4 linked regions of the Tamandua tetradactyla genome follow. The protein of the gene in region 2 interacts with the protein of the main gene of each other region in a biochemical or structural test. Links are inferred from orthologs where the notes say so. Each region holds a gene or a part of one and is shown on either strand. Other genes may lie near its edges. The genes, in order: ANGPT1, TEK, ANGPT4 and ANGPT2.

Region 1 (7,305 bases), on a different chromosome or scaffold from region 2:
AAATAAATGAATTAATTGCACTTACATGCACCGAGAGCCTCATTTTCTGCAGCACTTCATTTCCTACCATACGCCAACTACTTGGAATCAAAAGAGAAGTAGTACAGATTGCAGCATTAAGCTTACCGAATGGTTACAGTAAAAAAGTTCCATTTGAACTATCAAAATAAATATACCCCATTAAACTGTGAAACTGAAGTGAAGAAAACCTCTAATTAAAGGAACCTTAGGAGAGCTCTGAGCAAGTTCTTTACTGAATGCACTTACTTTCTTGATCCTTCTACCAATCAATGTTAACAATGACAAAAGATATGCAAATATAAGCAGACAATAGTCAAGCCAAACTGCTGTGACTCATACCAGCAAGGACATTTCAGCATATCCTCAGCTTGATTTACATTAGCAAGGGTCAGTGTAACTAAAGAACATTTTAATAGTTATGCTTGGCTATTATCTGGAAACTATGTCATAATCAGTGACCGAGAACAACACAAACAAGAATCAAATTTATTTCCTACAAATTAACATCAGAAACATTGCATGATTCAAACCCAGTAGAATCATGTATTTACCCCGTCACAACTGAATAATTGCTTAGCAACAACAAATATGCATTACTATATTTAAATCACCATTTTGACTGTATGTTTTGGGCAAACAAAATATTACATTTTTGGTAGAAGGGCTCATTCAAGACAAGTTGGGACACTAAAATTTACTGCCAGGCCTCCAAAATAATCCAGACTAATTCATAATTTTTAAATGCCCATTAAAAAGCATGGTATATTAAGACCAGCAGAAAGCTACTCAACCAAATTCATTTGCTTTTTGATGGAAATAAATTTTGTCAAAGGAAAAAGCAGATATCCTATTTTAGACTACTATTGTAAGTAGTAACTGAAATTTAAGTTACAGTTATTAAAAGACTGCAGAATTCAGTTAGCTTTCCGTTGCACCTAACTTTTGATTTTCACCTATGGTCTGTACTAGAAAGACTAACTACAGTTCCAGGCTTGGAAACCCTAGAACTACCAAGTTTCAGTTCGCATGTCAAATAAAATAACAGTGATCTTAGTTCAGTCCCTAGTGGACAAAAGTAGAATAACTGCTACACGGCAGGATTCAGCAGGCGCTGACCTAAGTGAGTGTGACCCAAGGGAACAAAAAAGAGCATTTGTCCTTTTCCTCTCTTTTATCTTCTCAAAGGGTTTGCCCTGTTAAGGGACTAAAAGAAGTCTCACTGCATTCCTACCTCTATGCACCAAGTGACTCTATCTGCAAAAATCCTGTGGGGGAAGCTTTTCAAAACAGGACACACTGTATCCTTCCCATGACATAGTCACTTATCTGTTGTTTACCTGTTACACAATGATACAGAGATCAAAGAGACTGAACTGCACAAAGTATGTTCATATTTTAATAGGCAGATGTTCAGCGAAAACTTAAATGATTGAAAGGTAGCAGAATAAGCTATTCTATTTGATTTCTATCAATTGGGATTAAATGCATACTTCACATGAACTTCATGTGGACATTTAGAGTCCCAAATGGCACTGTGTCTGGAGAAGGGAGGTACTTGAAGAAAACAGCAGTGCCTACAACAACCCAATAATCTGCAGGTGCCTGTCTTCAATGAACAGCCACCACTGACTCAATCTCTCCCTTCATTTTGGGCAAACAGCCCCTTCCTGTTGAATTCACATTAAAATTTATTTTCTTGATTTTTTTCTCAAGCACAGAAGTAATATGTTATAGCCATTTACTATTCTACAACTTATTGAAATCAATAGTCCCCTTTCCACACTTACACAATTTCTCCACCTAATATTACACTTCATATTTATTTTCATTTCAAGTGAATTTTACTACAAATTTACAACTAATATTACTAAAATAAAACAATAAGCATTTTACTATGAGTTCCCATTCTAGCTGTATAAAACATCCTGGTGTAAAATTCATTTGATCCTAATATACTGTTGTCATTCTTATTTTGGTTTTGCTTTTTCAAACTTGCTCAAGAGGTACTCGGTTCTTTTTTAAAGTAAGACTACTCAAGTTAAACAGTAAATAAGAGAAAAACAGAGATGTCACAAAATGTGCCATTACTAGGCACACAGTGGGAGTTCCAGCATATCTCACCGGCTTGCGTATGCCTAAAAACCTTGGCATAAGGTGAAGTCAGACGGAGAGAGAGCCCTCTTGTACTTGCAAACACTGCCCGGCTGGAGCCAAAGGTAAATACACAAATGCCCCCCTAAGGAGCGTTAAGTTAGCTGCAATGCAAGAACGGAGAAGGAGCGGTGCAATTACAAACTGAAAGCAATCACTTACTTTTTGCAGCCACTGAGTATAATTTTCCATCACATGCTCCAGATGTTGGAGTTTCTGGGAAGAGAAATCCGGTTCCACGTGTGGAGCATCTCTCTGCAGAGCGTTTGTGTTGTACTGGTCTGTCGTACTCTCACGACAGTTTCCGTCGTGTTCTGGAAGAATGAATGTGTAGGCACACTGCCCATGTTGAATCCGGTTATATCTTCTCCCACCGTTTTCTGGACCTCGGCGCTGGTTGCTGCACCCTATGTGAGTCAGAACGGCAGCGAGGAAAGCAAAGGAAAGGAAAACTGTCATTGTACTGCTAGCGCTCTCCTTCTGTGCTGCTCGCAAAACTCGCTCCTTTCTTCTGACCTTTAAACTACTTTATTTTAGGCAAAACTGCTGGTTTGTTTGATTTCTATTTCCCCCTCAAAGAAAATTTTTTAAGAATCATAGAAAACTAGCCATTTGTTAGCTGGGTTCTAAAATGTTATTATTATTATTATTTTGTTTCACTGTAATGATATTTCCTTAGTTAAAACTTGAGATATTTATTGCATAGTAGCTCAGATTTATTGTTTCCTCTCTGTGTAACAGTTAAGCGTGCAGCCTGCCTGAGCCAGCGGCATGTACATATTCTAGACCCTTTCCTCTACCCTATCTGCTGCAGATCTGCTATTTTCTCCCAGACCTCAGTGAGTTTTATTAAGGTTGCACATCCAAGCCAAGCTGGAAGCAGGCAGCCTTTCACAAGATGACTTGACAGGAATGCATGAGTGTGCCCCTATGCTAAGGATTGCCGATGGCTTGGGGCAGCGGATCGTTTTACAAATTGGCTAGATGCGCATGACCTAGATCATGTATGGCCCTCCCGCCCCTTCTGCAGACAATTGCCTTGAGCCTTTAGCAGATTCAAGGAAAATCAATAAATAGAGCAGTCCACCTTAATACACTTTCGGTGTGGGTGCTGACCTACTAAAATCTAGTAGTAGTTTTTTTTTTTTAAGTTTCTATTTAGTTAGGGGAATCCTAATGAAAAAATTGGTATAATATCCAATGAAATCAATTTTGGCAGTGACTGATAAATCTTTATAAGTTTTTTTTTTTAATTTAAAAACATTTATTCTTGACTCTAGAGGAAAAGCTATTAAACCCATTTTTAGAAATGGTGTTCTTTTATCCTATTCCTTTGGGCTTTTAAGAACTGAACAAAATAATCAGGAAAGGTGAAATTAGCAAGACAATATAGTAATTTGGGACTCACAGGAATATGGCATGTGCATACTAAACAGAATGCACTAAGTACTTTCTGGGATATGGATTTTAAATGAAACTTGTCCTCTCATCAGAATACAGCCTTGAGTGCTCTGTATATAAATTAAGCAACTTCCTTATAAAAACAACGTGGTTACAATTTCAGACAGTTGCTTGAGAATGATTAATTCCTGCGGTATATCCTCATCACATATTTCACAAGGACCCCGGGTGTTGCCTGGCTATCTTTAACTCCATATGGAAGTTCCAGATAAATCCTCAATATGACTGCTTGGACCAATCACCCCAGACCAAAAACGTATCAGATGTGCCCATGGGCTGTACAGGAGAACTCTTATGTGTTTCTATTAGCAAAGAAATTAAAATTAACAGGTTAATTAAATTAACTTCTGTTAACTAAAAGCAGGCTGTAAACACTAGAAAAAGGGAGTCAGTAAATATAAATGATAGGTCATAATTATAGAATCCAGGGCATGGCTTTGAGATTTTCACTAGATGTGTGCAGAAAACATGGATTATTAGCACAAGCTTCCATCAGGGACTGGGAGGAATTTTCAGCAATAAACCTCTCAACTGTAGTCATGCGGTAAAAACAGAAGTCACAGATATAGACTGTCATGTCCTGGAATGGAGGCAGGGCTGTAGATGATGGGCAGTAGAGGTTAGAGATGGACGTTTGGGGAGAAGTAAAAGGAAATGGCAAACCAAATTCCAGATTCCAGAAAGAAGATGATTTACTTGGAAAAAAAAAATAGTGCTGAGATTCATCAAATCTGACAGATATAGAAGCAAGCTCTGCTTAACCATAGCAATAAAATCTTTGGCTCACCTCTGTAGCTTCCTCCTGTACTGTTGCATGTCTCCACACACGTGGAAAATAATAATGATGTTTTTTAAGTGTTTGCTATTTTTCATGCCCTGTGTTAAGTACTCATTTACTCGTTATATACTATCTCATTTAATCGTCCCAGCAACCCAAAGACATAGATAGAGTGTTTAACTCCATTTTGTGGATGGGGAAACTGAGTCACAGAAAAGCTACATAACTAGCAAGTGATGGCTCCAGTATGTGAACTCGGGCAAACTGATTCAGAGCCTTTGCTTCTACCACTATGCCAGCCTGCTTTTGAAAACCTCTGTGAGGAATGAAAGCAACTCCAAAATGTTCCAGCTATATTAATTTACAGTCCTAAGGCAGGTAAGCAATGGTACCTAGAAGAAAAAAGAACTGATTAAAAACCCGTTTATCCCTCCAAAATGGTTTTAAATTTTCTCTGTATTCCCCCCAAAATAAAATAAAATAAGTGACAGATAATCCACGAAAGTGAGATTTTTAAGGATCCAGAGGGAAGAAATGGACTGGCAAAGCATAGATTGTCTAAGAACAATTTCTAACATTACTTGTTTTGAAAATTCTCCATGGAAAAAGGAGAACTCCAAACCAAAACCTATAAATGCTTTGCTGAGAACTAAATACAGCAGAAAATTGGCAGAAGACAAATGGATGAGCAGTGAGGTCTCTGATAAGGTCCTATGTTTTTAAAACAGTCAAGGTTTTTGAAAAATGTCTTCCCTCCACGTGTGTGTGTATGTCTATGTGTGTCTGTATGTGCTTGTTCATGTGAACGCTTCCAATCTGAACAAACGAGAATGAGGGATGTATATTTTCTTGAAGGAAAAGTCAACACTAAAGAAAGGAAACCCTGAAATGCAAGTTAAAAAAAAAGGCGGGGGGGGGGGGAGAGGGTAAGAGGGGCACAGAGAGACAGAATAAAGAAAGAGATATAGGGATTTATTTCTTTATTTTAGAGAAAAAACGAACACAAACATACGAAACCAAGACACTAAAAGTACAATTGCCAATACAGAAAGAATATCTGAGGGTCCATTGTAAGCAAGTGGTAAAAACAGGGTTGTGGATATGCAGAATCAGCTCATATCTTGGAACTCCAGCTAAGGAGATGTAAGGTATTGAGATGTTAAGGTATTTGACACGCAAAGAACATTAGACTCAGGGACATGAATCAAACCAACAGCAACACTGCTGGTTTTATGATTATTCAGAAATGATTCACAATTCAGGGGACTGTGATATTGAGGGAGTAAAATATTAAATATGCCCAAGGTTACGTACATTTTTAAATTCCTCTACCAGACCTCTAAACAGCAAAGCGGAAAACTTCTAAAGAACTAATTCCATTCACTTGCATTCTTCAGTAGCTTGACCTGAAAGCTTCCAATTGGTTTTCATGATTAGAGTTCTGGAATAAGAAGGTGAACTCTTTAAGGCTCTGGTCGCACATTGTGCTGGTTTGAAACTATTATGCAGTCCAGAAAAGCCATGCTCTTCTATTCCATTCTTGAGGGTGCAGATCTATTGTGGGCAGGGCCTTTTGATTAGATTGTTTCCATGGAGATGGAACCCACCCAATTCAAGGTGAGTCTTAAATTCTTCTTGTGAGAGAATAAAAAGATAGTGAAAGAGGAGAGAGCCCAGAAACGTTCAGAGAGAACAGAAATGCCCAGCGAAAAATATTTTGGAGAGAACCACACAGAGCCCAGAAAGAGAAACATCCCAGAGGTGCCAAGAGTGGACCCACAGGACACAAAGAGCATCAGAGAGATGTCCCAGGGTAGGAGAGCAAGGACCGACAGAAGCTCAGAGAGAAAGCCACTGGAATCGGAGGCTGAAAGCAATGCAATCAGGGAGTGAAGGACCAGCAGATGCCAGCCACGTGCCTTCCCGCATGATGCAGGAACCCCAGATGTCATCAGCCTTTCTTCAGAGTCAGGGTATCTTTCTCTGGATGCCTCAATTTGGGCAATTTTATGGCTGTGGAACTGTAAATTTGTAAACTAAAAAAAAATCCCCTTTGTAAAAGCCCATCCATTTCTGGTATATTGCATTCTAGCAGCTTTAGCAAACTGAAACACATATCTAAAAATGAGTCCTAGTAAAGGCAAGCGTCATCTCAAAACTCCTGTCTGACAGAGAACACCATTTATATGGGAACTTGATGACCCCAAATTTGTCCTAAGAACAAGTCTTTAGTTACTTCTTTTGTGAAGCTTTTCTAATCTCTCTGGGCCCAGAAAATAGCTTTCTCCCATGTATTTCAATAACCACTTCTTCATATTTCCTACTGGGGATTAAGTCATATATCCCAGAAAAAAAATGTTCTTAATCATAAATCAATTTCTGTGGGAATGAACTTGTAAATAGGACCCTTCTCTGAGGTTATTGTTAGTAAATGCGTGGTCATCTGAATAAGGATGGGTCCTAGTCCCATTTCTGGAGGCTTTATAGGGAAGGCCACAGAGAAGAGGGCACAGGAAACAGTCTATAGCTGGAAGACAATGGAATCTGAGAGAATAAGGAGAAGACACTGCCATATACATGGATAAGATGGAAAAGCCAAGAAACTCCAATGACTGCCAGATAGCCAGAAGATATCAACCATGGGAAGAAGGAAGCCTTCTAGCCTCTAGAACCATAAGCCAATAAATATCTGGTGTTAAGCCAACCTTCTGAATGGCATTTGTATTAACAGCTAGTGTGCCTGTTTGAAACTGTCGTGTACCCTAGAAAAGTCCATGTCCTATAATCCTCATTCAGTATTACTGGGTGGAATCTTTGTTATTGTTTCCATGGAGATGTGACCCACCCAACTGTGGGTGGTAACACTGATTAGATTATTTCCATGGAGATGTGTC
Region 2 (7,637 bases):
ATTTAATAAACCAGCCTTCCAGTTTGTTAGCCAGCCACAAAATATCTTTGTAGCAATGGTTAGCCAGTGCTTGCCTGACCAGAAAACTGGACACCATTACCTGACAAAGCTGACACCAGAACATAACCTTCACACCACCATCTTTCAGTTTGCAAGAGAATATAAATTGGTTTGACCCAAATGCCTTTTTCCCTCCTCTAGCCTGTTCTCCCTCTGGTTACATAGTTTCATAGTGGTTATTCTTTTCCTTAAGCCTATGAGAAAATTGCATTGGATCATCTGGAAGAGAGTACAGAGCTCTTGCCTTAAGAGGCTTACAGCTTATCTGGAAAGATATCACATGCGCCAAAGAAATACCGGGAGAAGGAAGAAAGGAATGCAAATTGTTGTCAAATGGTCATAGGGCAGCCAGAAGCAAAGACTACTAAAACAGATACTATGTTTGACCACATGATGCCAGATTTTGTTACTTAACTTTTCCTGTTTTGATGCATTGTCTCCACATGGGGATTGTGTAATTGTGAGCTTCAAAAGCAGAGATCATGTCTTCTATTTCTGTGTCTCCCCCATATCAATGTATCTTAGTGGCTAAAACTTAGATGCTGAAAAAAAAGCTGCAATCACTGAGGTGGATTGAAGTCAATCAGTTTCAAAGAAGGTCAGGTATTTTCCACAGTCATCTGCTCTAGATCAGAGTGGGTGTTGCCAACTTAAATGTGGCACCCTGGCTTACAGCCAGGACTTAATTGTTGATGATCTTTCCTTTCTTTCCCAGCCACTGTTAAGTACAGCAGCCCACAAAAATGTTCATGATACTCTTTAAGAAGCCAGACGTGGTGGCTCTAAAGGGTCAGTGCCCACAGCCCTGCAAAATGCAGAATGTTAAAGATACACTGTGGACAGTTGGCACCCTGATTTGTTTGCTCACCTTGTGCAAGCTGAGGTTCGCTTGGATCCTGTTTCTTATTTACCAGTGGGTCTTCTAATGCACATCTACTGTCCTGGGTCAACTGTCTCAAAGATTTCCCCTAATATTTTTCGTGTGTATATATATATATATATATGCTGAAATTATAGAAAACAATAACAAGGAAAAATCATAACAGTTTCCCAATAACCAAGAAAATAATCACTTTTAATATTTTGGTGTACATTTGTGGTATATGTATATATGTACACTGTATATATATGTATATATTTCACGCTGTTTATCAATATACGCTGTTTATGAAATATATACATTTCAAATTGTTTCTTCTCGTTCTACAATATACCATAAGCATCTTTTCATGTCAATGTGCTGCCACCACATCATTTAACATTTATCTGGCATTCCAATGTGTACCGTGATTTATGTATACCATTTTTGATAGCTTGTATCTAGTTTGCTAAAGTTGTCAAGAGGCAAAATGCTAGAAATGGACTGGCTTTTAACAGTGGGGATTTATTAGCTTATAAACTTCCAGTTCTGAGGCCATGAAAACGTCCAAATTAAGGCATTATCAGATGATACCTGAACTCCTCTGTCAGATGGGAGGGAACATGGCACCTGCTGGTCCTTCTCACCCTCGTTTCATTGCTTTCAGCTTCTGGCTGCTCCATCTGAGACTTTCTTTCTGACCTTCTGTGTCTTTTTCTCTCTTTTGTGTGAGTGTCATTCTCTTATAAAGGACTCTAGTAACAGGATAAAGACCCACCTGGGGCATGCCTCAGCTGAAATAACCTAATCAAAAGGTCCCACTCATAACAGGTCTACACCCACAGGAATGAATTCATGTTTTAAGAACATAATCTGTTTTGGGGGTTCATAAAACCTCCAAAGCATCACAGCTTATTTCCAGGTTGTGATTATTATCAACAAATATGCCAGGGATTCCCTTACACATAAGTATTGGGACACAGCTTTGATTTTGGCTTGGGGTATATCATAAAAGTGGTAAAAAAAAACAAACGCACATAAAGCTTTTACTAATATTTATGAAATTGACCTCTTGTGTGTAAAATCTGTTTATGGTAGAATTGTTATTTTTGCTAATCAGTCTCCAAGACTTTTATTATTGCCTATAGATTTTTTTTTTTAATTTTGTAACTGCAAAAGCAGACAATAGAAAATGAAATGTCAGCCAAGTGTCTTGTTTGCTTGTTTTGCCTGTTTGGTTTTCTTTTTTGTTCTGCTATAAGTGTGTCTAAAAAAAATAAAATTAAATTGAACAAGCTTGACTTATTGAAAAAAAACCCTTTCATTTTCCTGGGAAGAGGCAATGAAGCATCCACAGATCCTGATGTTAGCTATTTCAGTTGTGGAAGTACATTGAGAACTGTCTGCATAGCTCAAGGTCACCAAACTTTTTTATTACCTGTCAAAGCTTCATTTCAAATACACCCTAAGGTCTGTGTCTACTCCGATGGTGTTTGTGATGTTTCCTTCATTTCTGTTTATCTTCTTTAATGCAATTGCAATCAGAAGGTGAACTATGAAAAATAATGTGTCGTATATTAGAAATTGCACAAATTGGGGCCAAGAGACCAGGATTCTAGTGTTGTCTGCTAGCCACAGCTGTACAAGTTACTTAACTGTTCTGTGACTTTGCTTCCTCACTGCAAATAACTCTATAAAACAGTCTAATAGTCGTGATGATTGTGGGTGGGAAGGAACCAACAGAAAGCATTCATTCATTATGTACCTTGTGCCAGATACTGTGTATATATAATATCTCCCTATTAAGTATTATTTTTCCCCATTTTAGAGATGAGGAAAGTGAAGTTCAGAGACATGAAATAAATTGCCCAGGTCACACAGAGTAAATTACAGATACAATAGATGTAGTCCAGGTCTGCCTGACTCCGAAGCTCTTTCCTTGACGTGAGCATGTGAAATGGTAGCGTTTTCATTGATTAGTTCAATGATTATTTAACCCCTACTATATGCCAGGCACTGTGTTCAGTCTGGGAAATAGTGACCAACAAGCTAGATATGGTCCTTGCATCATGGTGATTGCAGTGCACTGGGGGAGCCAGGTATTAAAAGTTAAAGACACAACTATTTGAATGCTAGTTGTGATTGTCATGAAAGGAAAGAACAGGGTGTTCTGAGAGAAATAGTAGGGGAGGCCTAATTTGAATTTGAATTGGGTGGTCAGGGAAGTCTTTTCTTTGCGGTTACACCTAGAGGATGAATAGGAATTCATCAGGCAGGGTTGAGAGAAGAGCAATCCAACCTTTCCCAGGTGATGGGGCAGCAGAGGTAAGCAGCTGATCCGGCTGGCCACCACCAAGGCTTTTCAGGGAATGGACATGCCCCGCTGATGGCTATTATCAGCTTTCTAGAGGATTGTGGTCATATCCAAGTATGTGGTATTTCCTTAATATGTTGTGCATCGGAGAAACTCCTGTCCAGACATGGAAGTGGCCTCTCCCTTCCCTTGGAAATCCTGTCATGCCATCCAGTCTGGCAACTTCCCAACCTGTTGCCAATCAGACTGGAGGATTATTGGCCCCACAGTGTGTAGTGAAGCTCACGTTATTGTTCCTTGATTGATTCTCCATGTTCTCAGATCTGTGAGGCAGAAGGTTGGAGTAAAGCATGTCTGTCCATAGGTTACTTACACTTTACATCTGGAATTTTGATCTCATGCTAAAGATCCAGATATCCCAAAGAAAAGCTGCTCAGCTGTGTAATTGTAGTCTCAGAAAGCCCAGAAGCATTTATGAAACCAAGTTGCTATTCTGAGTAACAATGGAAAAAATTAATGGAATAATCTTTCTGGATCCTGACAGAAGAAATTAAATTACATGGCCCTTCAGGAAAAGGGAGAAATGAATTAAACTGAGCAATCATTCTAGAGTTAAGGGAGAAGAATTGAACAGAGTCATCCATTCCAGGTAATGGAGGAAGGAAGAACCTGAATAATGTTTCTGGATAGATGGAATAAGAACAAGTCGTCTTTCTGGATAATGAGGGAAGGGATAAAACTGAGCAGCTTTACTGAATAACAGAAGGAGGTAGCCCCCCAAAAGGAAACAAGGTAAGAACCTTACTTCAGCCGGTAAGAACCAGCCAGCAGGAGGAGGCATGAGCATGACGACTTCCTAGTATGACCAACAAGCACAAAGGGAAAGCTTGTGCTGGCAGCAAGAACCAGTCTGGGGAGGCAGGCATCGTAGAACTTGTTTATTTCCAAGACCTTCCATTGCTGTCCTCTATGGCTTGGGGCCAAAGGCCCTCGCAAAGCTTCAGCCACTGTATTCTTAAAATAGAGTATATCAATGACTTAACCCAGGCTTTCATAGTTATAGAGACACAAAGCCAGCATCTTCTTTGAACTGCCCAGATGAAAGGCCCTAGGAAAATATATAGCTCACAGAAATCAACTTGGGGATGCTGAGTGTAGGATAATTTATTTAGTTATTTAGACATAAAATGTTAGAATCAGAAGGGAAATTAGTCACATCCAGTCTAAATACATCATTTTACAGTCAAGGGAACTGAGCTCTAGAGATGGGAAATGACTTGTCCAAGGTCTCACAGGCAGATGATGGTAGAACCAGGACTAGACCCCAGAATTCCAATTCCCAGAGAAGTTCTTTATGACGCCAATCTTAAAGCCACCTCATCGGAATAGAGAATGGCTTTCTGGCTAAAGCAGCTGTGGCCTAAATCAGAAAGAGAATGGAAAGATGAAAGGAATGAGCACATTAACACTTAATGAAAGTCTTCTGGTGTAACATTTAATGAAACACCAGGCACAGTGCCAGATGTTTTTTATATATTTTAACCTCATTTAATCCTCACAAGAACTTACGAAGGTGATATTTCTGCCATTTTCCAGCAGTTGAAACTGAGACTGTAAGAGGTTAAATAACTTGTCTTCAGTCACTCATGTGGCTGAGCCAGTATTTAAACCCAGATTTGCTTGGAAAAAGAACCTGGGCTGGTTTTACCCCAGTAAACTGTAATCATCAACTGATTCTCAAGATCATCAGGGATGCGGTAAAATCTGGGACAGAAATTAGGCAAGACTACACATCTGTCCCTTCCTGTGGTGAGTAGGAAAAGGAGGAGCAGACAATTCCTTCCTCAGGCATGAAAGCAGGGTGATGAATAGAGCATTTACGCTTTTTTTCTGAAGTCATAATTTGTGTTGTGGGGAAATTATCATTGGAATAAATTTATGATCTCTGACTTCATTTTCGGCATTGCTACTCCAGATGGCTATTTTCCTTTTGGCCCATGTACTCTCTCTGTTCATATGAATAATATCTTTTTTTTAATCCCAATTTAATCTATGTGTGGTTTTCATACAGATTATTTTTAAAATTTTGTGTATGATTTAATTTTGAAATCCTTTTCACACCTGAAATCTTTCTATGCCAAATTCTTCAAGAAATTAGATCCCCTCCAGATGAATTTTTAATAAAAATTACGGATTCAGTAAATAGTGTGGTTATCTCTGGGCCCTTAGCCAACAAGTGAACTGTCTGTGTAAAAGAAAACAGGCTGACAGTTTGGGATTCTGGTTCCATGTCCACACTGAGCGTTGACCTCACCGGTGATTACCTAAATTAGTTGCCTCTCGGGTTGTGGTCTCTCATCACGGAAAACTTCTTTTCCCAATTCAAGTCATGTGGGTTGAAACGAGAAAACAAAAGCAAAAACTGCTTCCACACCCAAAAGCCCCTTCTCTCAGGGATCCCTACAGGACCCAAGAGAGCTGTTAGTGGTTTGAGAAGGGCTGACCATCATCGCATACCATACATAGGTGGAGGGCTTGTTATTTATTCTGTCTCCCGCCTATGAGAGGATACCCCTATTGTTTCTGAAAATGCTGACCAGGACTACACTTCGACTAAAATTCCTCTACCCCTACAACAGCAGCCAAAGCAGCGGCAGAAGCAACAGCCACAGATAAGTGTTTTGATGAATTGCAAGATAGATAGGGCTTGCAGTGCCTCCAGCTACTCTGACACCAAATGCCTTTAAGATACAGCCTTTCCCATCCTAATCTACAAAGGAAACAGGAAAAAGGAACTTAAAACTCCCTGTGCTCAGACAGAAATGAGACTGTTACAGCCTGCTTCTGTACTGTTCCTTCTTGCCTCTAACTTGTAAACAAGACCTAGTGGAACATGCAAATGGAAAGTCACAAACCTCTGGGTTTTTGAAAGGATCCTTGGGACCTCATGCACAGCTGTGGAAACTGGATGGAGAGATTTGGGGAAGCATGGACTCTTTAGCCGGCTTAGTTCTCTATGGAGTCAGTTTGCTCCTTTCTGGTAAGGTTTGGCTTTTTGATTTTTAATTTTAATTTTTTTATTTCGCAAACAGTGACATCTGGGCTTTCTCACCAACTCCTAGTGCTGATTAACAAGGGATAACTGGGGCAAAGACACTGTTTCTCTTTGATTTTCCTTTTCATATATGTACGGATTGAAATGCAAAGTCCCTGGGGCATGAACTGATTTTTCTAGTGTGTCCCTTCTGGATGATTATCCCAGGTTGCCACAGACTCTGAGTACTAAGTCACCTTATTTGAAGAGACTTACTTACTATGGTTCATTATGTTCTGTTCCTCATTCTTGAGTGTTTCCTTATTTCAAAAGAAGAAATCTGGGTTTACCTGCTTCAAAGAAAATCTTCAGTAATTTTTTAAAAATGAAAATTCATGCTAAGAATTATGAGGGTCATACGTATAAGCCAATACCTGAAGACAATGTAATATACTGTTCAATGAAAACAAACATGCTTTTCTGTAATGATTTCATATCTGAGTCCTCTTTTAATTAAAACGGGAAAATTCCATGCTCTTTGCTTTTTCTTATAGTTGGAGTTGGAAAGATTAAGGCTATATAATTTTTGTTTTATTTACCAAAAATATTCGGTGTATAATAATTCGTAAAGTCTATATTAACCCAAGGAAGCAAAAGTTCAAGCCGTTGCCAAGGTCATCAGGCACAGGATAGTACTGAAACCTGTTTTAGAGGCTGGTTAGTCTGAATGTTTATAGAGTTAGTGTGTATATTGCTCGGATTCTCTAGATAATGGTATATCTCTGTAGCTCACTCATCCTGTGTGACACAGACTGAAAGTAGAATCAAAATCTGAAGTGCAAGTCACAGATACGTTATGTTTGTTTTTAAACCCTTCAGCTTAAAAACATTCTAATTATTGTAATGAAAACCAAATTAATAATGAAAATAAATTTGGGAAAATTTGCTGTATTTAATGGTGTGGGCTATGTTATATGAAGTAAAAGAATTTACTCCAAAGATAATAAGTATCATATTATTTTTACATTCTTCTACATGTTTGAAATATTTCATTTTTAAATATGCTTACAATTACAAAAAAAATCCAATAAGAGAACAGAAATGCATGTAAAGTAATTTGTTTTATAGCTTTTTGGTTTGCTCTCAGCAGTCAATTATAATGAGGATTTAGTAATATTCTAAAAATCTAAGTTTGTAATGCAAATTGCTGAAAATGAAAATTGATCGGAGATGGTTTCAGTATTTATATAGCAGCTAGTTCATATTACTGTAGAAATAATGCTAATTTCTGCAACAATATGCCCCTTTAAACTAATTATCATCATTCCTTTTTTGGTTTGCTTTTGTGTGTGTGTGTACTATATTTATCA
Region 3 (7,697 bases), on a different chromosome or scaffold from region 2:
TTGGACCCAAAGGATTGTCATCCGCTTCCCTCGTTCCCAGTCTCTCTTGGCTGATACATCTCCTAGGCTCATTTCTATCCTTCTCTCACATTTGCCCTTGTATCTTTAAACTCACCAAGTCTATCTCTTCCAGACTAGAAGCCTTTCACACGAAACCAATGCGGATGCGAGGATTTGCAGGTGTTCTAACCACCCCTCTGGATTCTTCCTCTCTCAACTTAAACAAGATAGCCAGAAAATCCTATGCCCCATCAGGGAGGACCTGCACCCCCGGAAAAGCAGGAAGACGTATAGAAGACAGCAGACCTTTGTCCTTCAGCACCCCTTAAGATTAAGGAGTGGAAACTCTCTGAGGGGGGATTTGAGGCAGGCTAGAACAGGCGGAGAGCGGAGAGGAAAACAAACAAACACGAAGGAACCCTTGAGCTAGGATGGTTAATCAAGGTCAGGAGGACCTGGTGTCCTGGACACTTACGGGAAACACCCTGACTCACCTGGAGCCAAATGAGCCCCACCTGAGTGAGTCATCAACCGACCCACACAAAAGCACTATCCCCACCAGGTACTGCCCCGGGGAGAAGGGAGGGGAGAAAAAGAGCCCCCCCCGAACAAACGTAGGGGGAGGGAGCGTAAGTCAAGCTAATCTATAAAGCAAATGGCCTCACATTGCCTATCACCCCTCACCTTTCATCTTTCTTTACTTGTGAGCGTGCGCACATGTCATCTCCCAGGTGTAGCTAATAAAGTTTCTGCCTGCCTGCTCTCTGTGCTGTGCCCTTGAATTCTTTCTTGCAGCATGGCCAAGAACCTGGAAACCTAAATTCCTCTTGCCCAGTCACACTTGGCTAATGCATCTCCTGGGCCCACTCACTTCTACCCTCTTGCTATTGATTGGCCCTTACGTTTTTAAACTTCTCACCGTTTATTTCTTCCAGACTGGAAGCGTTTCACATGAAGCTAATGCTGATGTGAAGATTTTTCCGCCGTTCCAAATACCCCCTTTGGACTCTGCCCCTCTCAAATTAAATGAAATGACTAGAAAGTTCTTATCCCCGTAAGGCAAAACCTAGGCTCCCTGAAAAGCGGGAAGCAGCTCCATAAGAAACACCTTCATCCCTCAGTATCCCTGATTGTTAAGGGGTGAGAACTCTTGGAGGGGGGATTTGAGGTAGGCTAGAACAATGAGAGAAGGGAGAGAGAGAAAACACTCGTGAAGGAACTTTTGAGCAAGAACAGTTAAAGGCAGGAGGGCCTGATGTCCGAGACAGAAACCCTGCCTGGGGCTACCCACTTACAGGAAACCCCGGGCACCAGCTGACCCAGCTGGAGCTCAAGGCCCCCCACCTGCGTGAGTCACCTACAGAGAAGGGTGGAGCCAATTGACCTAATCAAATGCACTAGCTACCACCAGGCATTCCCCCCGGGAGATGGGAGGGTAGAAAAAGAAGCCCCAGACAAGGAAGGGGGAGAGGGAGTCAATAAAGCTAATCTATAAAAACAAATGGCTTCACGCTGCCTATCATCTCTCACCTTTCCCACCTCGGTCCTTGTGAGAGTGCCCCATGTCCTCTCACAGGTGTATTTAATAACTTTTCTGCCTGCTTACTTTCCATGCCCTGCCCTTGAATTCTTTTCTCATGGCATGGCTGAGAACCTGGAAGCCTCAACCCAGGGACAGTGGGAGAGGATGATGGCAGGTGAGGTGAGAGAGCTTACTGGGACCTGACTCCAAGTTGGAAGCAATGGGGAGACGTGACCACACTGACCTTGGGAAAGGCCCATCCTGCCCCCAAGGACTTCCTTGGGCAGCACAAGGCCTGGCAGGTCCCCGTCAGGCACCACTTGGTGGATGTGGCAGTAGCCCCCTCCTGGGCCTTTCCATCTTAATTTGTTGATGGAAGGAGAGATAAGGAAGGAGATGCTTCCTCGTCTTGCCCGGGGAGAAGCACAAACTGAGGGGACACATACAGATGTCCGTGGGAGACTGCCAGCAGGATCCATGGAGCTGGTGTTTCCTCCAGACTTGAACCCCTGCCTGTGTGTCCGACTTCCAGGACAGACCTAACCATGTCCTCCTGTGGTCAAGGGCTTCCCCAGCCAGGCCCTCGCTGCCCTCAGGGGGTCCTTAGACAAATCCAAACCCTGAGGCTGGGTGAGGAACTCCATTCCATCTTCCGAGGTTTGACTTCAGCCTGAAGCAGCGTCTTCCCTTGTATTGGGGATGGCCTTTGCCAGACTGAATGAAATTACAAAATAATAAAAGCAGTGGTCAACTTTTTAATTGAGCTCCTACTGTCCCCAGGGAGTTATTCTAGATCCTGGGAATATAGCATGAAGAAAAACAGATGAATTCCTGCCCTCAGGGAGTTTACTTAAAATTCCAGTGGCTGGATCCTGACCAAAAGGAGGAAAAGAAGTATAACAAGCTATCTAGTGGCTGAGACAATTCAAATAGAGTCAAGAAGCTACTCTGGAGGTCACTTCTACGCAAGCTCCAGTTAGGCATTGCTACCTATCATAAGTTGCCAAACCCCAACAAAAACCATTCTAGCCAATCCTAAAGAATACCTAGGACAATATTTAAGATTCTACAAAGGTTCCATGCACTAGGATAACTTTCCCAAAACCTGCAACCTCCAGATGGGTCCCTGGACCAGATAAGTCCTGAAATGCAGAGGAGCCAGCCTTTCCAGAACATCAACTAGTTCCATCCCCCATCCCATATTGTCAACAGCCCCTTCCAGCATGAAGAATTTAGAATGGGCACAGCCCAAATACCCCCAAAGAGTGGGAGAAAATTCAAAGGTGACAGTGGAGTTATACAGAGAAGTAGGTTTAACAAATGAGTATGATTGCTAAATCATTATACTGATATTTTTTTTTAATTCCCAGTGTCTGGGAGCAGCTAGTAATAAAAACCTGAAAATATGAAATTGTAACCCATAAACAGAACACTGAAATCTGTTCTACAACTAGTTGTTGCTATGTGCTTTGAAATGTATTGCTTTTTTGTATATATGTTATTTTTCACACACACACAAAGTATTTTTCACAAAAAAAGAAAAAAAGAGTTGATTGTGATGATAAAAAAAAAAATGTTTAAATAAATTCCAGTGGCTTGGAGAGGAGAGATTCAAAATACAGGTACCCATGACAATAGCAGACACTTATTCCCTGCTCCCCCTGGGCCCGCACTGCTCTAACTCAATTTTTATACCCTATGAAGTAGATGATATAATTTTCCCCAATTCAACAATGAAGAAACAGCGGCACAGAGAAGTGAAGTGACCTGCCCAAAGTCACACAGCTGGTAAGTAGTGGAGCCAGGAATTGAATCAGTAAACAAGTAAATAAACAAGTAAACCAAAAACTCCTTATCCCCATGCTGAGGACGCACATGCGTTCCTCATGCAAGAGGAGATCAGGATGTGGAGGCCCAGAGGGGTGCTTGTTCAAGGTCAGCCACTCTGTGTGAGAGGTGAGCTCTGACCGCACTCCGTGCCCTTCTCCCAGCGGTCACAGGCAGCCCAGGGAACAATCAGCCCAGGACAGTACAATTTCTCGTCACTGTCTCACCAACTGAGCCACCCAGGGAATAACGTTCCTCCAGACCTCAAGGGAGAAAGGACAGGGAGCCGGATTGCTGGCTGAAGCACCCAGTTTTCTGCCTTGGAAGGATTCTTTCTATCCCAAGAAGCAAACTGGATTTGCTCCCTCATCCCCTGCCCGGACTCCCTTGCCCCTTGGCTCCCCGGCTCCCTCTGGCCATCCCTTTACTGGTGTGGTTACCGAATTTAGGCTTCCAGGTTCTTGGCCATGCCACGAGAAAGAATTCAAGGGCACAGCGCAGAAAGTAAGAGGCAGGAAATGTATTAGATACACCTGTGAGAAGACATGTGGGCACCCTCACACAGACAGACATGAGAAAGGTGAGAGGTGATAGCCATGTGAGGCCACTTGCTCTTATAGGTTAGCTGTGCTTACTCCCTCTCCCCCTTCCTTGTTTGGGGCTTTTTCCTTGCACCCTCCCTTCTCCCCAAGGTGGTGTCCCGTGGTAGACAGAGCAGCTGGGTGGGTCAGGTGGCTCCACCCTTCTCCGAAAATGACTCACTCAGGTGGGGGGTCATTTGGCTCCAGATGGGTCAACAGTGGGCGGGTGTTTCCCATAAGCGGGCAGCCCCAGGCAGGTTGATTGTCTGTCTGGGACACCAGTTCCTCCTGATCTTGATCAACTGTCCTAGCTCAAGGGCTCCTTCACCGGGTTTTTTCCTCTCCCCTCTTTCCCTGTTCCAGCCTGCCTCGTTCCTAGCACTCCAACATCAGCGGGGGTGAAGTGGAGGGGGAGGAGAGCGGGAAGGCATGGGGGGGGGTCATTGAAACTTGAGATCCCAGCCTTGAGGGGGGAGCACAGAGAGAGACAGAGAGACAGGAAGAGAGAGAGAGAGATTTCGGTTGCGTTTGGTTTTCCAAAGCCGGCGGCTTTGAGTGTCTGGTATTTGCGTGTGAGTGTGCGCGTGTGCGCGTGTCCGCGTGCGGTTTGCTTTTCTCCCCCCCCCACCCCCCCCCGCAGGGAGGCCGGGCTCTCACTGGACAATAAAAGGACTCGGAGGAGAAGAGGGCAGAGCAGGGCCAGTGCGGACGGGGCAGCTGGTGGGCAAGAGCACAGAGGAAGGAAGGGAAAGGGGGAAAGAATAGAGGTGAGGGGGCGTCTGGGGGGGCAGGAGGTGGTGAGAGGAAGCTGAGCAGCTGTGGTATTTGGAGCAAGTATAAATAGCCTCCTGGACAGAGCTCGGACAAACGGGTTTGCAGCTGCAGCGGCTCTGCAGGCAGGCTTGTCCACTGCAGGCTGTGGCGACGGCGGGCGCGGCGCTGGGCAGCAGGCAGGCACATTCCCTGAAGACTCTGACCCCACACCCTGCACCTCCGCTACCTCTCTGATGCCTTCCTGGAGGGCCATGCTGCTGGGCAGCCTCCTCCTCTCGGTGGCCATCGTGACTGCAGGCCAACAGAGGGCACAGGAGGCGAGCGGGCGCCGCCAGGCACACCGTGTCCAGCACGGCCAGTGCAGCTACACCTTCGTGCTGCCCGAGCCGGAGCCCTGCCTGCTGGAGCCCAAGGCCTTCAGGGGCTCCCACAGCCTGTGCAGGGACATCCCAGCCTCCACACAGTACCTGGAGGGCAGGCCTGCCCAGCGCATGCGACAGCTGGAGAAGGTGCTGAGAAACCACACGCAGTGGCTGCAGAAGGTAACGGCCGGGCCTGCGGGACTGGGGTGGGGGGGGCACTCTGTGGCCTGACAGGTGGAGGTCCCCTCCTAGTCTGTCCTTGGTCACAGATGGCCAAGCTGATGGGACGCTTGTCTCTGAATTGTGCAGATTGTTTTAATGGTGCCGAGAGAGTGGCAGGGATGCCCCACGGAGGCCACACCCCCAAAACCAGAGGCATCAGAACTGGAAACGGGCTCCCTAGCTGCCATTCATTCATTCATCCAACAGAAATTTGTTGTACTCTGACCTCATGCCAGACTCATCCTGGGTAGCTGGGGACACAACTCAAAACAGAATAGCATGTGTCCTTCTGGACACACGTTTAAGGGGGGGAAAGAGATGATAAACAATAAAAACCTGTGTCAGATGGTGACATTATAAAATGAAGGAAGGGAAGCCAGTAAGGAATATAACCAGGAGTGGCTTAGGACTCAGGTGGTCAGAGGACTTCTCAGAGGAGGTGACATTTGAAGCAAGAGAATAGATGAAATGATGAGCAGGCCACGCAGGCATCTGGAGGACTGGCGTTCTTGGCCAGGGAACCAGCAGTGCAAGGGCCGTGAGCTGGGGATGAGTCGGTGTGCCTGGGGACCGCAAGGTGGCCAGACTGGCTGGAGCGATGCCCCTGATTTGACTGTAATAGGAGACTAGGCTGTAGGGGTCAGGGTGGGTGTCAGGAGCTGGAGGAAGTGGCTGAGACCACTGCAGGCAAGAGGGATGAGGGGAAGCCTGGAGCAGGGAGGGCCTGGGCAGGGGCAGGTGTGGCCAGTCAAATCCTGGTTGCTTCTGGAGGTGGCGCAAACAGGGTCTGCTGCTGACTTAGATGAGGGGTGGGAGAGAGCGAGGAGTTGAGAACGCCCCTGCAGCTCGGACCCCAAACCAGGGTCACTGTAGCCTCTCCTGTCCTCAATCTTGCATGGGCTCGTTCTACCAGCAAACACTTTGAGCACCTCGTGTATGCCCGGCCCAGAGCGGACGTGGCAGGCCTGGCTGGGACGGGCGGAAGGCAGGGAAGGTGGCCTGTGGAGTCCAAGATGAGGCTGGCCAGCCAAGTAGGAGCTGACCAGGGGAAGAGAGTGGGCCCTGGCCGCAGGTGCAGGACATGGTCTGGGTGTAGTGGCGGGGGGGTGGGGAGGAGAGCAGATGATTTACAGGGTTTAGAATGTATAAAACAGCTGACAGCAGCTGGCAGCTAGCTGCAAGGTGAGAGCAGGAGGAGACAGGAGTAGTCCCTGAGGTTCCTTTTTAATGAGGGGTTTCCAAATACTTTAAATCACGCATCCAATCAGTAAAAATTGTTTGCTCCCCCGATACATGCATATTTATTTAATGTTCATGTGATATGCTCAGTATTAATATGATATATACAGGGTATGACGCAGACAAAAATGGAACTTTAAAAGCTGATGTATGAAATCATGTAAATTGAAGTTCTGATCATTTCCTCCTGTTTTCTAAAGGATTGTCTTGTGCTGCCTCTGGGTTTATCCATCCCCGAGGTGGAGGGTCTGTACTATACATGCCTAACCAAACTGCTTCTTACACACACTCACATACACACTCATGCACACCCAGGCTCACATACATGCTCTTGCTCACACCTATACACACTCATATTCACACATGCTCACATACTCATGTTCACACATATATTTGTGTACACACACTCGCATACACACTCATGCTCACACCCATTCACATACATGTACACACACTCACCCTCCTGTCTTCATCCCTGCCCTGGCCTCCCCCTCAGGCCCTCGCTCACCATCTTCCCAGGGACCCTTCCCACTTGCCCTCCCACCCACTGGCCCTGCAGCACTTGGCTCAGCCACCCTCCCACCCCCATGGCCCCCTCCAGGAAGCTCCTTGCCTCATGTACAGGAGCCCAGTCCAGCGCAGACACCATGTCACTCTGCAATCTGTGTGTGTTTCTTTGGACAGCTGTTTCCGAGGCCTACCAGGGCCATTTCAAGTCTTGCCCCCTCCTCAAGCCTCCATCTTCACTTCCCACCCACCCGTCTTCTCACCAGACCATGGACGTCCTACTTCCACAAGAAGTAGAGGCTGCGGGCAGAGAGGCTGCTCAGCTGCCCACCCTACATCTGCAGGTTCACCCATGTATCCACCAGTCCCCAGAGCCTTTCTTCAGTCTCAGAGAAAAGAGGTTCCCTCACAGCCAAGGCCATCCCTCCCTCCTAGGTTTAAGAACCATCTCCCACAGCTCCTCAGCCTCCTTAAACCAGCTGTCCCCTCCTGCACCTCCAAACCTTCTTCTCTGCTGGTTCTTCCTCTGTGTTTAATTACACCAAGGTCTCTCCCATGTTAAAAAAGAAGGAAGTGGAAGATGAGGAAGATGAGGGGGGAAACAAGCTCTTCTCCTGCCCCATATTCTTCCTCTGCTTCCTCATTTCCTTTTTACTCCTTTCC
Region 4 (8,005 bases), on a different chromosome or scaffold from region 2:
TTTTCCCTAGCAATAATTTCATGTTCAATGAACTTTCTAATGGTTTTCCCTGTACAATGAACATTACATTGTGTATAAACATGCTGACTGATGAATTCATCTTCTCAATTTTCAAAAGGTCAGAGCAAGGGAAAGAGGCGAGATGGACAAAATGATACCTAACATCTCTTCCAGCTCTAACATGAAAGCTACCTGAGCATCCTCAAGTGTACCCATTCATTCACAAATGGCTAATAATCAAAACAACAGAGTCCCATCTTCAGTTGTAGGGCATTTAGTATTGAAAGTTCCTTCTATACCAACACAGCACACTTTCAAAATTTATGGTCATGTTGGTCAAATAAGCCAACACCAGTCACTACCTCTGGAGACCCAGAGGCAAAGATGACATAATTTAAAGTAGACTATAGCTAAAGGGTATTGAAAAGAGCAAGCATGAGATTTACTCAGTAATGCTATGGCCCAAATCTGATGGAAAAATAATCCAGCACAAAATCTATTATAAATACAGGAGACCAATGTGCCTATAATATGTTTGAATACTTTCCATGTATTTTTAATTAGGAATGTCTTCTTCAAAGCTTATGCTTGCAATATATTATCAGGATTTTAACAGATGAGAAAGCAATACTTTCTCTCCAGGTAAGATTGGGATTCTCATCTCTCAGTCACACTTCCGGCCCCTGAATATCGAATATTACATTGCTTGATGCACAAAAGCGGAGGTCATGTGAGCCCACCTGCAAATTTTATTTGGTACTCTATTGCTTGGGGCTGCCCCACTTTGTATGCATTTAAACTTGACATCTTTTTCTGGTTTCTGGCTTCCTGAGACACCATTTAAATACAGAAAAATGTGTGAGAGAGCCTCACAATTTCCCTGGATGACCTAGGCCCTCTGAAAAATTGGGATCAGTCCGATTGCACAATCCAAATAGAAGCAGATCTCTGCCTCCACAATTTATATTCTTGGAGGGGTCAGAGAGGCCGAACTGGCATGAGATCCTTTTAGCTTTTACCCACATATTAGGGCCTTTGTTCAACAGAGCAAGCTGAAACAGAGACAAATTATTTCTAGAACTTGATTCCATTCTACAGAGAATAAATGGGAGCCTCTGAAATTTCAGCTGATGACATATAACATGGGGGAGAAAACAAACATTATTAAGAAAATAAATAGCAACATGCACAGCTGTTTGGCAGAAGTTAGAAAAAAAATTTGGTTGGGCAAGCAGACTGATTTTGGGAAGCCTGTAATAATACTTCTCATTTTATAGCTTCATCTGCCTTCAGCTATCCTGTCAGCAAGTCATTGAAGAAAACTCAAGATTCTCTTTGAAAATGAACAGTTCTAAGAACCGCAATCAAATCTATGTTGCAGAGTGCAGTCTGGACTATGTTTAACTTTTAATCCCTCAGAAAAACGAATCACAGGCCAGGGGATAGAAGTAAACACAACACTCTTCTTTTGCTACTCGTCCAATAGTAAAAAGTGCAAAACAATCAGTTACATATAGTGTACTAAACAATTACTCCAGGCATAAATATAACCAAGTAAATAGGTTTAACTGTTGGCTCTTTTAGTCACAATTGGGTAAAGGCACAATCCCAGCCTCTCTTTCTTTGTGAGGTTCTTAGACCCAGTTCTTCTTTGTCTCCTTCTAGGGTCTCCTGCTGGTTCTCATAATTTGGCTGTCAATGGGCTTGTATATCTTCTCTGATCTCCTCCATGATCAGTTATAGCAGTCAAGTTTGCAGCTCTTACTACAAAAACATCTCTGCAACTTTTAGTATTATACTGCCTGTGCTTGGCTGGTGCACATGTGTGATGTTTTGCTTTGTACTTGAGTCATTTTTTTTTTCTAGAACTTCTTCCCTGTATTACATTTTATATCCAGCTTTCAAAATTGCCGTTCACTTTGGGTAAATGTTCCTGCCCCTTTCACAAAGTCCCTTTTCCTTGGCTTGTCTTGTGTTCTTGAATCTTTAAGAACTCATACCATAATCTGAGGGATCAGAGATTTCAGTTTACTTTGGCTGTGTATTTTAGAGCAGATTTACTAACCACTTCAGAGCCCCTACTAGTAAGTTTCCCTATGGTCTAACTAGAGATTTGTTAACCAACAAACTACAGCAACAGCCATTGCCTGTTTTTCAATAGTTCTTGAGCTAAGAATGGTTTTTACATTTTTAAATGATTAAAAAAAATACTAAGAAAAATATCTCATATGTGAAAATTATATGAAATTTAAATTTCAGTAGCCATATATAAAGCTTTATTGGAACAAAGCCATGCCCATTCATTTATATATATTGTATAAGGCAGCTTTTATGCTGCAACAGCAAAGTTGAGTAGCTGTGTGATAAAGGGTATGGCCTACAAAGTTAACTATCTGATCCTTTATAGAAAAACCTTGCTACTCTCTGGTTGGTTCCAACAATTTCTATTTAGGAATCTACAATGAGCTACTCATTTCATGTTCTGACTTTGAGAGGATTAGATGAAAGACAATGTCCAAACCAAACATAGTAGGAACAGTGTCCACCATGAAAGCAACATTATTTTTCTTCTGTGTGCACCACACAATTCTTTCATCATATCTATTTATGGGTCTCTCTCTCTCACTATACTATTAGCTTCTTTTATTTTTTTAGTATGCTGTATGGCAGGAGTCCTATTTCATTCTTTTTCCATGTGAGAATCCTGTTACTGCAGCACCATTTGTTGAATTTGTGTTTGTTTTTTGGGGAAGTGCATGGGTCAGGAATAGAACCCAGGGCTCCCTGGCAGGCGAGAATTCTACCACTAAACTATTCTTGCATCCCCACTATTAGCTTCTTTAGATCAGAAACCCAGTTACATTAATCTTTTCGTCCCCAGTGTCTAGCAGAGCATCTGATACACAACTGGTAGGCTATACATACTTTTGGAATATTCTCCTCTGCTTTCGTCTTTTTAAACTATCCTATTTTCCTGGAAGATACATGAATGCTTTTTTAAACCACATATTAATACTTTATAATATACTTTTTTCAAATAGGGAATAAATTTATCAGAAGAAAAAACTTGTACTCTATGCCATTACTTCACATTCAGTCAGAGAATAGCAAATTTATAATAGTTGATGGTATAAAAACTAATTTCCATTTATTGGAAAGTGCCTAAAGGAAAAAGGAACTAACCTTCCTAAATAACATTTACTATTACATATCACTTTAATTCTGAAAATGGTACGGAGACAGAATTATTTCCATTTTACAAGTAAGGGAACTAAGGTTTAGAGAACTTAAGCATTTGTCCAAAGTCACACAGAACCAGAGTTCTAATACAGGCTTTATCTTCAAAACCTTGATGCTTTGCTCTACAATTCATTGTCTGAAAGGGTACATTTTTCTTTATTTTTTTCCTTTAGTGGAAACCATGTATCAAAATCTTTGTGGAATCAAATTTCATATTCTATTAATATGATTCTTCCAGAATAGGAGTCTTAAATTTTTTGTGCTTTTCTTCAAGCCCTTTGGTAGTCTGGTGAAGCTTATGAACTCTTTTCCAAAATAAAGATATATGCTATTATCTTCAGATATTAAATAAGATCTAGGGATGGATCTAGTGCTGAGTGTGATAGTTTGAAATATCTGATAAAGTCATAATTCTATGACTTTAATTGATGAGAAAGTCATAGATATTAATCCTACTTCGTTGGTTGTTTATTCATGATTAAAGGAAAGGCTAAATTTCAGTTAAATTTTAATAAAAAATAAGTACTTATTTCCCTATCCAAGTTCATGGACCCCATGCATTCTCTCCATAGACCTCACGCTAAGGATCCCTGCTCTAAAGGAAGCTTGGGACTCATTATATTCATAGAATGGAGTTTTGAAAGATCTATTTAGGTCTCTTGTCAACAAATTCAAGAATACAAAATTCACTGTACAAATTCCATAGTCACCTAAGAATTAAAAGCATAATTCTTTGCTTCTCTGAAAGTTTATTTTAAATGATTATTGACTGATATTTGACCTTCATGGTTAGATGAGGTCCATCAAGTCAATGTACCAGATATTCTACCACTAACTGGGAATAATATATCTATAACATAAACAGATCATAGCAAAGGATAGATATTTTTTCCTAGGTTCATATTAGCTGGCAAATTCACATATTATTAATCTCTGAGGTATTAAGTTTTAGTTTATTAAAAGAGGTGACCTGCAGGATTTACAGAGTCATAGAATTGAAATAGAAAACCGTTAAAGTTAGTGTAACTCCTGCGTTTTACAGGTAAGGACAATTAGAGCCTAATTAAAAAGGGGAAGTGATTTGCCTAAGTCAAACACCTAGAGGTTCTAATTTAATTGATCCTGAATAATCATGTTACAAATGATAGGTTTTGAGCAAATCCTGATATAAAAAAAAGAAAAGATGTGTTCCTCTTTCAACATACTCTATTTGTATTTTGACTTCCCCACCTCTTATAAATCAGTCCATTATTCTTTAAGTTTATTTTGAATATTGAAATGGATATTTTGTTGAAAGAATAAATGTCAGAGCTCAAAAACTGATCTTCCTAGCATGATTTAATAAAGCAAGATCTTCCTAACAAACTTTTAAAATGAAAGTTTTGTATACTCAGATAACAGTTCAAAGGACAAATAACATCCATGAAACTATTTTCCTATGAAAAGGCACAGAGTTTACAAGAGCAAAACGTCTTCCTCTTTATTTGTAATAACAAAAATAAACCAAAGTCCTGACATATTTGTAGTATTTTTCTTCCGAAAGGAAAAAACAAGAACTTTCATTGTACTTTAAAATTAAAGTTGTTACCTTAGATATTTTACCAGCTTCACACTGTGAAATCAGTTCCACACAAAAGAGACCGACTGCTCTCTCTAGGAAATACTCAATTAGGGTGGTGCCTATGAAATACCCAGGGGTCCTGTAACTGATCGTTTTTTCCCAGAGGGTTTCTGCAGTATATAGTCCTAGTTAGACAACAAGCATTATGCTCCGATTTTTCCTGTTGCCTGGCTAGTGACCCCCCTACAGGAAGATAACGGATAAGCCAAGAGGGCGGAGCAGCTAGCTACACATGTCTGGCTGCTCTTATCAACTTATCATATAAGGAAAGGAAAGTGATTGATTCAGATACAGACACTGTAGAATCTGGGAAAAGAGAAACAAAGAAACATTAAATCTGATCTGTAAAGCTAATACAGCACTCACAACTGAGCAGGATTATTCTCCCTTCTGGAATCTGACAGTTTACTGGATGACTGGAGAGAAGACAGCATTAAAAATCAAGTTTGCTACTAGAAAAGGAGAAAAAAGAAGACTTTCATTGATTGACCTTAAACCATGGCAGCATAGCCGTGCATCTTAGAGAACAGCTTAGTATTTTGGACTCTTATGTGCCTTGACATTTGCTAAGCTGGTGGTTTATTACCAAAAGAAAGAATGTGGCAGATTGTTTTCTTTACTTTGAGCTGTGATCTTGTCCTAGCGGCAGCCTACAACAACTTTCGAAAAAGCATGGAGAGCATAGGGAAAAAGCAGTATCAGGTTCAGCATGGATCATGCAGCTACACTTTTCTCCTACCAGAGATGGACAATTGTCGCTCTTCTTCTAGCTCCTACGTATCTAACTCTGTACAGAGGGATGCACCACTAGATTACGATGATTCGGTGCAGAGGCTGCAAGTACTGGAAAACATCATGGAAAACAACACTCAATGGCTAATGAAGGTAGGAAAATAATCAGTTTTACTTTATGAAAAATTAAAGCTATTACAATCAGCTTTGTTTTAATAACAACAACAAAAAGGATTAGAGCAAGACAGAGATGCTTTATGGGTAGCTTTGAATGAATTATCCTTTTTAAACTTCTATCCCAGTGTGTAAAATGGTCATAGGTGAAAGGGATTATTTGAAAAAGAATGTCAGAATAGAGAAAATTTCTGAAGTTGAAATCTGTATTAATAAAGTGAAGGAGAGGAAGTGCACATCTCTGCAAAACTGCTATGCTCTTTTGTTTGTTTTAGTTTAAACTCAGTAACACAGAGACATTATAAACTGGTTGCAGGCATGTGAGGGAAGCTGTAAGCAATACAGCAGTGCCAGAGCCAGGAAAAACGTGACAATCATGTTAATTACTGATAAATAACGGATGGAGCAAAGTGCTTTACCAATTTCCTGAATTTATTTACTAAAATAGATTATGACTTGGTAAATGAGAGGAAATTAAATAAAACAGACCTCATGTTTCTCAGAATCTCAGTGATTTACCCGCAAGGACTTGTCATTTGTAAACGGTGGTAAGTTTTCCAAGTGTCCTGTAGGGATTCGGTACTGCAGCCACATTTCAATTCCAGCAACTGGCTTTGAAAAATATATTCATGTGGGACTAGTGCTCAGGGGCAGTTACGTTGAATTTATGCCATGACAAGATGGTTTCATGGTTTGTACTTGGGGCTATGATTGTACCACTGTTTCATAGATCTTTTCTTTTTTTTTTTTTTGCATGGGCAGGCACCGGGAATAGAACCCGGGTCTCCGGCATGGCAGGCAAGAACTCTGCTGTTTCATGAATTTTTATAGAGAGTTTAACCAAAATAGGATATTGAAAGCTGTGTTTTTCTTTCATAAAAGATCATTTTCCCACATAAACCTGGGAACTATATACACACATACATACATATATATATATAATTACCCTGGAATTTTTCTTTATATGGACTATATGTATTCCAAAGGAAGTTTAAAGAAAATGCATGTATAGTAAATTAAGTATTATAATGATGACATTACATTAGAAAATTGCTACATGGTAGAGAATATGACTATTTAAAGCCATAAAAAACGTTTAAAAAGTTTGTTGGCATCATTCAACACTTTGCCCCAGAAAAGTATAATTATTTTCTCAATCTTTTATTTCACCATAAGCTGTCTGTTAGGACACCCTATCTTAATCTCAGCAGAGATCTTAGATCCTAATCTAAGTTTCACATTAACTCCCCTGCCATCAGAGAGGAAACAACTAAGTCATCATTTGAGCCATAAGCCTAAATGAATGAATGTTCTCACCACTAATGGTCATTGCAACAAGAACAGTTGCTTAAAATCGAAGAACAGAAAACAATAAAACTTAAACAATTTATCAAAAAGACCCGTCAAATATAGATAATATAAAAGTCATTAGTAATATCTTTATAATCACTATCCCTTCTGGGCAAATTTTCAGTAGGTTTTTCTTTTTTCTTAAGAAAGTCACTAAAATCATCTAAAAGCCACAGATGCTTAAATAATAATGCTAAACTTTAAAAAGTATACAGCAGTACAGGTTCAAATATCTGAATGACAAACTGTATTCTAAATATATGTGAAATTCTAACTTTCTACTTCTTTTTAAGTCATTATGCTCACATTTAATAATCTCCCTGCATTTACTATGGCGTGCTTAATGGTCAGTGCTAACAGCCTCAGTAAGGAATGAAAGAAATATAGTAGTAAACATTCTAAGCTGCCCAGTTGGTAAGTCATTTCCTAAAATAAACAGTCAAGGAGCATAAAAGAATGCTTTGCCAAATTCAAGACTGTGAAATTGTATTTGCTTAATTAAGTACACATCAGGAATACCTGAGACTCCATAAGCAAAGTTCATATTTCTTTCTTAAACTATCCCCTTCTCTTGGGTATTTGAGAAACTATTTAAAGGAGGAAAAGGACAGGTGACAAGATTTCTTCCTTCCCAGGTTCAATTAGTAAATATTTGATCCGTAGAACAATGGCATTTCAAAATTCCTTCTTTAGCTATGTAGCTAAATATCATCATAAATGACTTAATATTTATCTTTTGATCTGCTTAGACCTGTTCTCTCTGGTCTAGCTCAGTGGTGTAAGATGTGCACCTGAGAAAGTCAATTTGAACTCTAACTAACTTGTCTTCTGGCTTCTGGTTTAGGAATGAGAGTCAAAAAATAAAACAAAACAAAAGCCAACCAATCA

What was found.
Region 1: the proteins of TEK (region 2) and ANGPT1 form a complex in vitro, tested with the Homo sapiens proteins (6 studies listed by BioGRID and IntAct, with this or other methods). The link is inferred for Tamandua tetradactyla from reciprocal best matches to the Homo sapiens genes TEK and ANGPT1.
Region 3: the proteins of TEK (region 2) and ANGPT4 form a complex in vitro, tested with the Homo sapiens proteins (2 studies listed by BioGRID and IntAct). The link is inferred for Tamandua tetradactyla from reciprocal best matches to the Homo sapiens genes TEK and ANGPT4.
Region 4: the proteins of TEK (region 2) and ANGPT2 form a complex in vitro, tested with the Homo sapiens proteins (7 studies listed by BioGRID and IntAct, with this or other methods). The link is inferred for Tamandua tetradactyla from reciprocal best matches to the Homo sapiens genes TEK and ANGPT2.

The regions. Positions count from the first base shown.
Region 1 is NC_135332.1:152,108,060-152,115,364, forward strand, and holds the start of ANGPT1 (angiopoietin-1), read right to left. Parts: upstream 3,001-7,305; 5' UTR 2,632-3,000; coding exon 2,335-2,631; intron 2,329-2,334; exon of another isoform or gene 2,173-2,328; coding exon of another isoform or gene 2,143-2,172; intron 915-2,142; exon of another isoform or gene 71-914; coding exon of another isoform or gene 26-70; intron 1-25. UniProt on the Homo sapiens protein: Binds and activates TEK/TIE2 receptor by inducing its dimerization and tyrosine phosphorylation.
Region 2 is NC_135328.1:69,154,641-69,162,277, reverse strand, and holds the start of TEK (angiopoietin-1 receptor), read left to right. Parts: upstream 1-4,633; 5' UTR 4,634-6,221; coding exon 6,222-6,273; intron 6,274-7,637. UniProt on the Homo sapiens protein: Tyrosine-protein kinase that acts as a cell-surface receptor for ANGPT1, ANGPT2 and ANGPT4 and regulates angiogenesis, endothelial cell survival, proliferation, migration, adhesion and cell spreading, reorganization of the actin cytoskeleton, but also maintenance of vascular quiescence.
Region 3 is NC_135327.1:22,808,250-22,815,946, reverse strand, and holds the start of ANGPT4 (angiopoietin-4), read left to right. Parts: upstream 1-4,687; 5' UTR 4,688-4,937; coding exon 4,938-5,246; intron 5,247-7,697. UniProt on the Homo sapiens protein: Binds to TEK/TIE2, modulating ANGPT1 signaling. Can induce tyrosine phosphorylation of TEK/TIE2. Promotes endothelial cell survival, migration and angiogenesis.
Region 4 is NC_135329.1:34,715,894-34,723,898, forward strand, and holds the start of ANGPT2 (angiopoietin-2), read left to right. Parts: upstream 1-5,002; 5' UTR 5,003-5,458; coding exon 5,459-5,746; intron 5,747-8,005. UniProt on the Homo sapiens protein: Binds to TEK/TIE2, competing for the ANGPT1 binding site, and modulating ANGPT1 signaling. Can induce tyrosine phosphorylation of TEK/TIE2 in the absence of ANGPT1.